3 linked regions of the Macaca fascicularis genome follow. The protein of the gene in region 2 purifies or fractionates together with the protein of the main gene of each other region. This does not show direct contact. Links are inferred from orthologs where the notes say so. Each region holds a gene or a part of one and is shown on either strand. Other genes may lie near its edges.

Evidence for each region. The genes of interacting proteins can lie anywhere in the genome.
Region 1: the proteins of HCK (region 2) and HSP90AB1 purify together in Homo sapiens (affinity purification with mass spectrometry; 3 studies listed by BioGRID and IntAct, with this or other methods). This does not show direct contact. The link is inferred for Macaca fascicularis from reciprocal best matches to the Homo sapiens genes HCK and HSP90AB1.
Region 3: the proteins of HCK (region 2) and CDC37 purify together in Homo sapiens (affinity purification with mass spectrometry; 3 studies listed by BioGRID and IntAct, with this or other methods). This does not show direct contact. The link is inferred for Macaca fascicularis from reciprocal best matches to the Homo sapiens genes HCK and CDC37.

The regions. Positions count from the first base shown.
Region 1 is NC_088378.1:127,269,977-127,273,955, forward strand, and holds the start of HSP90AB1 (heat shock protein HSP 90-beta), read right to left. Parts: upstream 2,806-3,979; 5' UTR 2,603-2,805; intron 1,841-2,602; exon of another isoform or gene 1,745-1,840; intron 1,422-1,744; exon of another isoform or gene 851-1,421; intron 346-850; coding exon 199-345; intron 1-198. UniProt on the Homo sapiens protein: Molecular chaperone that promotes the maturation, structural maintenance and proper regulation of specific target proteins involved for instance in cell cycle control and signal transduction. Undergoes a functional cycle linked to its ATPase activity.
Region 2 is NC_088384.1:88,140,027-88,144,010, reverse strand, and holds the start of HCK (tyrosine-protein kinase HCK), read right to left. Parts: upstream 2,802-3,984; 5' UTR 2,568-2,801; intron 1-2,567. UniProt on the Homo sapiens protein: Non-receptor tyrosine-protein kinase found in hematopoietic cells that transmits signals from cell surface receptors and plays an important role in the regulation of innate immune responses, including neutrophil, monocyte, macrophage and mast cell functions, phagocytosis, cell survival and proliferation, cell adhesion and migration.
Region 3 is NC_088393.1:10,965,627-10,969,742, forward strand, and holds the start of CDC37 (hsp90 co-chaperone Cdc37), read right to left. Parts: upstream 2,806-4,116; 5' UTR 2,721-2,805; coding exon 2,619-2,720; intron 1-2,618. UniProt on the Homo sapiens protein: Co-chaperone that binds to numerous kinases and promotes their interaction with the Hsp90 complex, resulting in stabilization and promotion of their activity. Inhibits HSP90AA1 ATPase activity.

The DNA.
Region 1 (3,979 bases), on a different chromosome or scaffold from region 2:
CATGAGCCCACTTTTTCTGGACATAGTCACTTCCCTTTCAAGTTCAAGATGGCCAGAGAGTAAGACAAATCTTTTTGGAATAGTTGCAACTTTACCCCCTTCAATAGTAATCCCCAACAAAGGCCAAACCACTCCTTTCCTCTCTACGAAGAGTGTCAAAAAAATAAACACACCAAATATAGAAACCACAGCACTTACATCAGAAGCATTAGAGATCAACTCCCGAAGGAAAATCTCCTTGTTGGAATAGAAGGTATTGATGATGAGAGACATGAGTTGGGCAATTTCTGCCTGAAAGGCAAAAGTCTCCACCTCCTCCTCTCCATGGTGCACTTCCTCAGGCATCTAAAATAAAAATGATCATTAATTACAAAACATGAAGGCCTCACATTTTAAAATCCTAAAGGTCATCTCATTTGTTAGGACCTTAAGAGTTGAGACTGGTTTGACCTGAGTACTAGCCCTTCCGAAAAGACCGAAAAAGCATTCTCTTAAAAGATCTCAGGCTACACACTAAGTGGGAAGCCTGAAAATTCAGAAGGAAAAAGAAAATAAGCTGAATGTTCTTCAACCAAATGTCACAGAACCCAGCTACTTAGAGTGGTGACCAGCAGTCTCAACGTCATCCGGTAGTATGGCAGAAACTCATAATGCTGGTCCAACCCAGGTATCCAGAGATCCCAGATAATCCTTACACAAATTTAAATGTGAAAATCGCTACCTACAGTTCTTCATTTGGAGATCAAAGTAACTAGTTTGGCACTAACTTTAAACTGCTCCCCCTGAGATGTCTTCCTAAGACCAGCCCAAGGGCGGGACACTCCTACCCTACACTGCAGGGAGGAATAACCTGGGATCCAGAGGATACCCGCCCGAGGGGCAATTAAATCCGGACAAAGAATCGATAAGCCAAAAGCTCCACTACGACCCCTTCACAGGACAAAATTACAGAACAGGCCCAAACCCAACACAAGGAAGATGGTGGCCGTAACCACCAGGCCGACACTCGTCACTGCCGGACATGCGTCGGCAGGGACCACGCGAGGAGGGGGCGCCGCCGTGCACCCTCCTTCGCCCCAGCATCCGGGCACTGGGGCGGGGCGCCAGAATCCAGAAGCTTCCAGAACAATCTCAGCTCTAGAGGACGGGCGGAGGAGGGAGCCCATGAATCTTCCAGAACCTGCCCCCCTCCCCAACCCTCCTCCACCGGGACTGCAAGAAAGATCTGGAAGGAGGGAGTATGGGGTGCTGGAGACCGAAAGCGCTCCTCCCACACCATGAACCCTCACAGAAACAAAGCACCCAAGGCGGCTTTAACAACGCGTCCGATAAGAGAGGTGGCAAAGCCAATCCCACAGGGCCGTGCTGAGTCACCCGAGCAGGCACCCCCGCCATCCTGCGGTCCCCCTCCGACGCCCTATAGCCGCGTCCGGAAGTGGAGGAGCAAAAATGGCAGCGTCCCGGGCCGCGCGGCCACCACGTGCAGCTGCCCGCCGCGCACTGCCCCAGCCCCACAGCCCACCTCGCTACGGCTAGGAGGAGCCAAGAGAAAGCCCCACCGCCCAAGCACACTAGAGAAAACCGAGGAAAACTCAAGAGCCCTCACCTACCACTACCCTCACCCTATAAAAATCCAGGGCGTTATCCACAAGCCACCCCGGTATCTAGGCTCCCTAAAGGACAGAAAAAAACAAGAGCAACACGAAAGAGCACTAAAGAAGCCTAACGAAGAATTCAGCCTTACCTTGAAAAGAAAAGGCTTACACGTATTAGAGAAGAACGTGGGCTTGCTTTCTGATGACTACCAGGCACAAAACGCTGCGCCGGAGTGACTAGAGAGAGCTACTGCGTGCCCCAAGTCTCCCTATATAAGGCGAAGCACAGAACAGCCGCCCTCCCGTGGATCCCTCCGCCTTAAAGGAGCATGCTTGTCAAGTCCGCACCTGCCGCCACCAGCCCACCTTGACGTCATGGTCCGAAAAAAGGAGGGGGCGGGGAAGAACCCAAGCAACGGATCCACCCACACGTTTGCTTGTGATCACAGCCCCATATCTTCATGTCTAGGACCTGACCCCATCAAGAGCTGGGATAAGGAGTGCTCATTTGGCATATACGGTGTCTCTACGGGCGAGGAATCCATTGACCTCCCTAAAAACCTGTGAGGCAGGAGTCCCCACACCCAAGGACAGAGCCCGGGGGAAACACCTAAAAAGAGCCGAGGCAGCTAACCACTCCGACCGCTGCTCCCATACCCAATCTTCTTCCTAGCATATGCCCTACACATTTCGCATCCCGACACAGGGACTGGCATTCGGGACCCGACCTTGGGTAGCACCAGATCCTGACTCTCCCAGGAGCAGAGGAAGGGCGGAGGGTTCGCAGTGTGGGGTATCTCAGCGTGGGGGGAGGGCGCCGGCCGGGGCCGGCGGGACTCTTTGCCGGCATGCGGCGGAAGGCGCGGCGGCGCTGCGGCTTTCCAGCAGTTTCCAGGCCTGTCTCGGCGGTCCCGCCCCCGCCCGCCCCCTCCCCGCGGGGCTCCGCCTCTCCGGCTGCGGCCAGAGCAGGGTTTTTGCAGCGACCCCACCCGGGGACCGGCTCTGACCTGTCGGAGACGACGCGAGTACTAGCCCAATCCTCAGGGATGGGATGGAGCGTTGGGGAGGGATCGGCTGACCCCTCCTTCCCCGCGTCAATCACACAACACCCAAGCACCTGGGGCGACTCTGCGGGCGTACCGTTTTGCACTCTGAGACTGGAGTCGCTACGGGAGGGACCCCCTCCAGCCCCTGCGGCCGCCACGTACACGGAGCACGGGGACATGCGCCCTCCCTACGCAGGCACGTCAAGCCCTTTCTCAAGCTGGTTCGCTTTTTTTCTCCCACTTCCCTCCTGCAGCTATTTGGACGTGGGAAGGAGGGAGTCTCTAGGAGCCACTGCAGGGCAACAGGAGCTCTTGGAGGCCGCGTGAAGACGCCGGCCAGAGAGCGGCTGGCCAAGTTGTTCCCCTTCAGCCTTGGCACCAGAACCCCTAGGCCATACTCCTGGTCAGTGAACTGCGGCCGCCGTCTCTGGCCTGTCTCCGCCCTTTTGCCTGCCCTCCAGTCGGCAAGCTGTCCTTGCCTTTCCAAGGCGTCATCCGAAAGCCTGCTGGACCCACAGCCCCTCCAGGAGAGAATAGCCGCTCCCTGCTCTGTGCCCTGTAGATGTCCATCTAGTCCCCTTCCTGGCCCACCCCTAGGATGCTTGGGAAGAGTTTCCCCACAGCCACCCACGTCGTCCTCCCTCACCAGCCCTGTTACCCAGTCTACATTCGTTAACAAGCTTTGTTCATGTGTTGAATACCAAAGAAAAAGGACGTCCCTTGCTTTCCTCTTCCTTGTCCCTGTCAACTTCTCCATGCCTGCCATCATCATCCCGATTTTATATCCTTTCTCCCTTTCATTATGGTCTGCAAAAAGCGTATGGCTGGGAGAAGTCTATAAGAAGGGGCATTGGGTGCTCTATTCCTGACCAAAACCGCAAACCAGAGGGAGCGTGATCCCTTAACATACCCTCTCCTTCTAAGCAGAGGGACCTACGTCATTAAAAATCTGCTCCCCAGTTCACAGAGAGCATTCACAAACTCTCACTGTCCTGTGAGCGGATGAAAGCCAGTGTGTACATTATATCAACAGGGAAGTGGCTTTAGTGACTCCCAGGGTCCCTCTACTCAGAGCCCTTGCTACGCTGGCTCCCTTTCTGCTCCAGAAATGGAGCAGGGATGTGATCTCACCCCTAGGACCCAAATCCAAAGCAGGAATCACTCCTGTGGATGGGCTTACCCTGAGCTGGATCCTTTCAGTGTCAAGACTCAGCTGCTTCCTGAAGACTTTCTAAATGGGAAAATCTCAAATCTTACACCAGCATAGAAATTCCACTTTCTCTGCTGGGCGCAGTGGCTCATACCTGTAATCCCAACACTTTGGGAGGCTGAGGTGGG
Region 2 (3,984 bases):
GAAGGGGCAAATATGCTCCTCTGCTATCCCCTTTCTCAGAATTGCAGAAAAGTCTCACAGTTAGATAGCTTTATTTTTTTTTTTTTGAGATGAAGTTTCGCATTTGCTGCCCGGGCTGGAGTGCAATGGCGCGATCTCGGCTCACTGCAACCTCCGCTTCCCCGGGTTCAAGCCATTCTCCTGCTTCAGCCTCCCGAGCAGCTGAGATTACAGGCATGAGCCACCGCATAGATAGCATTTTTAAAGCACACAAAACAATAATATGTGCTGTTTATGCATACACTTATACACAATCCATTTTTAAAGGCACAGCCTGGAAGGACTGTAATCACGACAGCGGTTGCCCCCTGGGGAGGGATAGAAACAGGACTGAGAGTGACACAAGGTGGGGAGACTTCAAATTTTTCTGTTACTTTTAGTAAATTAATTTTTTAAAATCTGAAGCAAACACAACAAAATGCTATCATCTGTTAATTCTGGATGGTGGATTCTTGGGATATTTAATATATTATTCTCTTCACTTTTCTGTATTTCTTTTTTTTTTTTTTTGAGACGGAGTCTCGCTCTGTCGCCCAGGCTGGAGTGCAGTGGCGCGATCTCGGCTCACTGCAAGCTCTGCCTCCCAGGTTCACGCCATTCTCCTGCCTCAGCCTCCCGAGTAGCTGGGACTACAGGCGCCCGCCACCGCGCCCGGCTAATTTTTTGTATTTTTAGTAGAGACGGGGTTTCACCCTGGTCTCGATCTCCTGACCTTGTGATCCGCCCACCTCGGCCTCCCAAAGTGCTGGGATTACAGGCGTGAGCCACCGTGCCCGGCCCACTTTTCTGTATTTCAACCTGTCACCCCCTCCCCTAAAAAAAAAGGACCATAAAGAAAAAACCATGGGATAAGGCAACTGATATGTATTGAGGCCTTTTTCTGTGCCAGGCATAGGCTACCCCAGTGGTTTTCAAAGTGCCATCCTTGGATCAGCAGCAGCAGCATCACCAGGGATGGAAGTTCTTAGTGTCCTGCACAGAGTTACTGAATCAGAAACTCTAGGATTCGGCCCAGCAATCTGTGTTTTCACAAGCAGTCCAGGTGATGCTGATGTAGGCTGAAGTCTGAGAACGCGGGGCCATGTGTCTAGCTAGGGCAATGTTAAGATACATTAAGCCTGTGTACTGTCAGACAGTACTCTCAGAGCTTTCCTTCACTACCTTGCCTGCCTGCCTGCCTTCCTTCCTTCCTTCCTTCCTTCCTTCCTTCCTTCCTTCCTTCCTTCCTTCCTTTCTTTCTTTCTTTCTTTCTTTCTTTCTTTCTTTCTTTCTTTCTTTCTTTCTTTCTTTCTTTCTTTCTTTCTTTCTCTTTCTTTCTTTCTTTCTCTCTCTCTCTCTCTCTCTCTCTCTTTCTTTTTTTCTTTTTCTTTTTTTGAGACAGAGTCTTTCTCTGTCGCCCAGGCTGGAGTGCAGCCGCGCGATCTCAGCTCACAGCAACCTCCACCTCCCAGGTTCAAGTGATTCTCGTGCCTCAGCCTCCAGAGTAGCTGGAATTACAGGCATGTGCCACCACGCCTGGCTAAGTTTTGTACTTTTAGTACAGACGAGGTTTCACCATGTTAGCCAGGCTGGTCTCAAACTCTTGACCTCAAGAGATCCACCTGCCTCAGCCTCCCAAAAAGCTGAGATTACAGGAGTGAGTCACCCTACCCGGCTCCTTCAGTATCCAATTAATCCTCTAAACAACCCTGTGAAGGAGGTACTATTACTCTCCCCATCCTACAGTTGTGAAAACAGAAGCAAAGAAGGGCCAAATCCTCTACCCCAGGCCCAACAGGCAGTTTGCCTCTAGAAGCCCCCTCCCCTACCCACTAGCCTAACTGTCTCTCACAGGCACCACCTCTCACATACTCCAATTTCCTGCATCCTTGCAAGAAAGACTTCATAGCTCCGGCTTACAGATGAGGAAACGAATCCTGAGAGGGAGAATTCGTCCAACAAGGAGGAAAGTGTCAGGGCATGGCAGTCTTGGGCCAGGAGGTTTAGGGGTTTGACCTAGACCTGCTGTGGGAGGAGGGGCAGAGAGCCGACCAGCTGCAGCCGGCCTGGGTGTGGCTCACACGTCAGGCCTCCGCCCAACTGCCCCCTTCCCCAAGCCGGCTGCCAACCCGGCGTGACCCGGCCCCCACCGGGAACCGTAAGGGCCTTCCCCCCCAGGCTCTGTGAAGCCCCATCCCTTCCTTCTTCTTTTTTTTTTTTTTTTTTAATTAAAAAAAATCCCCCCCACCCCGCCGCAGAAGGGGAACCTGGACAGCCCAGAGAAGTGGTGGATAAAGTCACTGCACGGGCCTCCCCTCCCCTCCCCCTGGCATCCAGCAGTCCGCAGCAGTGCCGCCCCTCTCCTGGGCACCCTCCCCTGGCTGTCGACCCCTCATCACAGGCTACCCGCGGCTCCCCCGACGTTCCCGTCTCTCCTCGCTGCCCTCAGCAGCACCCGTAACCAGCCCTCCCCACTCCCCTAGACTCCCTCCGCCGCCTGGGACCCCTCGCGGGCCGGATATTCCCGGTCCCCTGTGCGCGGCACTCACCTGGGCGCCCGCTCCTGGTCTCGCGGGCAGCCCGGATCCTCGCAGCTCGAGCGCCCCCCCAGCTCGGCAGCCCCCGAGGTTCCGGGGTGCCAGTGCTGGGAAACTGACTTTCTAGAACTAGAGGCGGGGGCAGCGCTCGCAGGGGCTTTGGTGCCGCGGGCGTGTCTCGCCCTGCACTGTCTGGGTCCCTTCCCACTCGCCTCTAAGCCTCCGACGTGCTCCCGGACTGGGACCAGGGACGCGGTGGTGCCCGCAGGCCATCTGGGCGCTTTAGCCGCGCCCTGAGCGATGCTAACTCCGCCCCAAGTGTCCTAACGCCGCCCCGAAGACTCAGAAGCCACCCCAGGTTCCTAACCTGCTCCCCAAGGGTCATAACCTCCGTCTCCTGCAAGCAGGATCCCAAACCCGCCACCAAGAGAAAAAACAAAAAAAATTAGCATCATCCATCGGAGGCTTCTAACACGTCCACCAAGGATGTTAACCTCCATTCCTTCCGCTCTACTCTCCCTAACACCTCCCCATCCCACCGCCCAGCGTCCTACCGCAGTCTCCGAAGGATCCCAAATGCCACCCCTGGGGATTCGAACCCTCCCGTCTAAGAACCCCAGCACCCGCTCCCATGCTCCCAAGATCCTAACTCCGCCCCGCCAAAGGATTTTTAAACTAAACTTGCCCCCAAAGATTCTAATCTGCCCAATGGAAAGATCCGAACTCTCACTTCAGTGGATTCTAACCCTGCCTTAAAGATTTAGAACACTAACCCCAGGGTTCCAATACCGCTCTTGATCCTGCGCGATCCCAACCTGCCGCCGCCTAAGAGTTTTAATCCCCAGGGGTCTATCCCGCCGGTCCAAAGACTCCAACCCTGCCCTTCAGAGATCCTAACCCCACCTATCAAAGGATTCCTGCTACAGTCTTCAAAGATTCCAACCCCACCCTGGAAAGGCCTTACCCTACCCCGGAAGCATCGTGATCCCTTTCCCCCACCACTCCGACCCCTCCCTTCTGGCCCGGCCCCCCCAGCGCCGCGGCCCGAGACTTCCAGGCCCGTCTGTGGTCAGCGGTTTCCCTTCCGCAGGCCTGCTCCATTCAGACGCCACGCAAAGTTCCTCTCTCGAAGGAACCACCGTGGCCATGCAAAGTTCCCTGACCAAAGGAACTACCCTGGCCATGCAAAGTTCCCCGCCCGAAGGAACCACCCTGGCTTCCGGGCAGCTCAGAGGACTCCCAGACTGGGGGAGGTGGTCTGGAGAGGTGAGGAGTCAGGCTGGAGGGTGACCCCCCCCCCCAGTGGATAGGATTGTGCCCAGCTCCAGGCAAGGGCAGAACACACCCTCTCCTGAAAACACAGGGGCTATCACCCTAAATTCTGTGTAACACACCTCCAAAATCTCCAAAATGTACAAGAATCATACTG
Region 3 (4,116 bases), on a different chromosome or scaffold from region 2:
AAAAAAAAGAAAAAAGAAAGACAGACAAGGTCTTGCTATGTTGCTCAGGCTGGACTTGAACTTCTGGGCTCAAATGATCCTTCTGCCTCAGCCTCCTGAGTAGCTAGGACTATAGGCATGTGTCCCCACATGTGGCTGTGGAATTTTTTTTTAACCATTCACAAAAATTATTTAAATGATGATGACGGTAATAGCTACTGCCCCAAAAGGATTACAAATATTAAACGAATAAGGTAACCCTTACAACAACCCTATGGGGTGGACATCATTCAGATTCTCAGGTGCTCAGGCACAGAGCAATCAAACAATTCCCTGGCACTCACGCAGCATGTGAGTGACACAGACAGAGCTGAGATTTGAACCTAGTCAGGCCTGTGCTCAGAACCACAGCGATCTCTCCTTCCCCTCCACAATGCTTCCTTCCAAACCTGCCCCAAGTTTTCCTGCCCAATCTTAATTTATTCTTACAAAAGTCTCAGGGAGGTGGGGTCATAGTATCCCAGGTTTCATACGGGATCAGGGAGGCCTGAGTCTTGCCACATCAAAGAAAGAAAGAAGCAGCAAGAGGCAGGACTAGGATTGGAACGCAAGCTTGCCTGTCCTTGAACCTGTGCTGGAGACGCTGAAGCCCCCTGCCTCCCTTACGTGCCACTACAACCACCGGGTTCTCAGCGGTAGGACAGGAAAAGCTCCGTGCCAGAGGGAGGAGGGTGTGGCAGGTACGCTACGCTGCAGGAGGGGGGCCCTCCCACTCGGCAGGACCAAACCATTCTCCACAGTAGTAAAGATTAACCTCTTTATGTGACAGAAATAGGTCTTCCCAAGAATAGTCTTTGGAGCTTTGTGGAAGTCTTAAATATTTCATAATAAAATGTTACACACGGCAAGAAATAGAAGCGCTAGAACTTTCTTCCCACACTCCAGTGGCTCGCTTGGCAGGTACACTACCCAGGAGACTCAGGATTTAAGGAAGAGGTCTGGAGGTGGGACTGGGAGCTAGATAAAGAGACTAATGCCGTATTCTGGAGTATTCCAAAATGATGGGGAAGGGAACTTCTAGTTGTTTCTTGGATAAATGATGGGGAGTTGTCCTATGAGAGGGTGGGGTAAGAGATCCTCACTAGAAGGTTCTGAAAGGTATATGCCCTTAGTTTAAGAGTACAACATGGCTGGGTGCAGTGGCTCACGCCTGTAATCCCAGCACTCTGGGAGGCCGAGGTGGGTGGATCGCCTGAGGTCAGGAGTTCGAGACCAGCCTGACCAACATGGAGAAACCCCGTCTCTACTAAAGATACAAAACTAGCCAGGCGTGGTGCCGCATGCCTGTAATCCTAGCTATTCAGGAGGCTGAGGCAGGAGAATTGCTTGAACCCGGGAAGCAGAGGTTGCAGTGAGCCAAGATTGTGCCACTGAACTCCAGCCTGGGCGACAAGGAAACTCCATCTCAAAAAAAAAAGAGTACAACAGACACTGATATGTGATTTGGGGTAGCAGGAGGTTAAACCTTTAAGTCTTAGTCACCCCATTGGCTTGTGAGCACTGAGGGGGTGGTAGGACATGGATCACTCAGACTTGGGATTCTGGGGTCTGGATTTGGGGGTTCTGTTGTGGTCCGATAGAAGAAGGGGTAGTGAATTTAGAATCAGACCAGGAGTCCCTGGAAAAGAGCAGGGACAATTTGGGTCACAGAGTAGCGATCAGGTTGGGGACACAAGGTGGGGTGGGTTTGGGGTCCTGGGCTTGAGTTAGGGGAGTTTCCAATGCTGGCCAAGGCTCATACAGGAAGCCAGTCTGGGAGGTGGGTGGTGACAGGGTCTGCAATACCAAGTAGGGGCAGGGGCTCTGGCTGGGCCGGAAGCCACGTGGGCAGGATTTCCTGGTCTAATGGGAAATGGGTCTACCCGAGGCCAAAGGAGAGGCTGGAATGTGAGGCTCTGTCGGGGTGGAGCTGGTAGTTAGATCCAGAGGGGAACCAGGTTCCACAACCGAAGTCCTCGGTGAGACTAAGGATCCTGAAGGGGGACGGCTCTACACTCTAGGAAGGGGGTCCCGGGTGTGGGCAGGGACAGGAATATCAGAGTAGCACAGAGTTCCTTGTACCGTTTAGAAAAGGAGTGGCGACTCCGGATCTGAATGGGAACCCCGGATCAAGATCCCGGAAAGTAGATCCCAGGACAGACCAAAGTATTGGGGGTCCAGACTACGGAGGTGGGGGAGGGCGACGTGAGATCCCAGATAGGGAGTGGATACCCGAATAGGATGAGGGATCATCTAGAAGAATTTGGGGACCAAACTTTGAGGCAGAGTTCTGGGTGTAAATGTTAACTCCGAACAGAATTAGGGAGACTCGTCTAAGGCAGTCCAGACTGAAGAAGTTCTAGGGGGTGAATAGGGAATCCCACGCAAAAATCGGAGCAGGGGGTTGGGGGGAGATCCCGAGCAGGGACTCAGGGTACCAGTGGTACTGGGGTCCTGGAGTTGAATCGAGGCTCCTGAAAGTCCAGACTGAGGGGGTGAGAATCCTAGGTGTGAACAGTGGGGTCCCTGGGCAGTATCGGGGACCACAACTCTGGAGCGGGGTCCGGGAGTGGGGAAAGGGATGGGCGCGCGCGCCTTACCTGATGCCGCCAGCGGAAGAGGCTGGCCGTGTCGATGTTGGGGTGCGTCTCGTCTTCATCATCAGACACCTCAATGTGGTCCCACACGCTGTAGTCCACCATCTTGCCTTGGCGGCCCAGCCCGCTACGGCTCGGTTGGCGGCGACGGCGGCGGCGCTGGAGACTTGGTGCGCGGAGCCCCGCCCCTTCCGCTTCCGCCCGAGTGCGGGGGAAACCCCGCCCATGCCTGACGTCACATCCCTAGTAACCGCGGCAGCGGCACTGGCTACCCATTCTGCCTTAAAGGGCCTTGCGCAAGCGTTCCAGTCCCCTGAAGTTCCCGCAGAGACTCCACCTTATCGGGCGCAGGGGCTCCGCTAGGTCTCCTGGGGGCATACGAGTGGGCACTTCAACTCCTAGCCCCCCTCATCTCCCGCCTCTCCACGGTGGGCGTTTGGGGTGGCAGGGAGAGGACGGTTGATGAGACTAAGAGGACTGTCCCCTCAGCTACGCCGCAGTGACGTCTGCAAGGGGTACGGACACGGCGGGAAGGCCCTCCCCCTGCCCTTCGTAAACGGGGACCTAAGCCTGCTCTGGAGAGGGGCGCCTGACGACTCCTGGGACTTTCTCAGCCCGAGGAGGACTGGACCTGCCCTGGGGGTGTCTAAATAGAGGGTGGTATGGCCCTCCCCTTGAGGGGTTAAACATAGAGGGGAGATTGTGGCTCTGCCTTGGGAGCCTTCTCCTCGTCCTCCAGCTCCGGCCATTAGCAGCAAGGACTCGCGCGCGCGCACATACACACACACACACACACACACACACTTTGGAATCACCCGGACCCCCCATAACGGGTCTCGGCGCCCCACCCCGCGTGACCGCTGGGTGTCGCTAGAGTCTAGCCTACGGCGCGTATTCCTGGTCCCGCGCTTGGTGGGGGAATCTTGGAGGGGTGGAAGGGGGCTTTCCTTTTCGTCACAGTCTGGGGTCACGCATAGTCCCTCCCCGTTTGTCTGGGGGTACCCTTCCTCCGCCGGGGCTCTAAGGACTCCATTACTCTAAGCATGCAGGGCCCTGGCCTCACACTTCCACGCATCCCAATCCACGCTTTTATACCAGGATAATAGGCCGCGTTGCAGTCTCGGGCCAGGATTATTTTAGATTAAAGGGTGCTCCATCGGGGGTCAGGCTGGATAGGAGGAGCTCCAGCCACTCGGGTGAGGGGCGCCTCTTCCCAGTCTCCCCTGGAGCCGACGTCGCAGGCGGTGCCCGGAGAGAGCGAGCGAAAGTCTCCAGATGGGGGGAATTCCCCAGTGCATGGAGGGGGAGGGGCCATCGGACAAAAACGCCCTCCCGCTGCCGCCCCTCCCCCTCGCGCTTCATTCAAACCCGCGAGTGGGCGGCCAGGGGCGGAGGAGTCCCCATCTCCTCCCCCTCCCTCTTCACCTCTACCCTGGCAGTCCAGCACATCAGTGGCTGTCACGGCCCGGGCACGCGCGCGCACGGACCCACACCCCGGCGG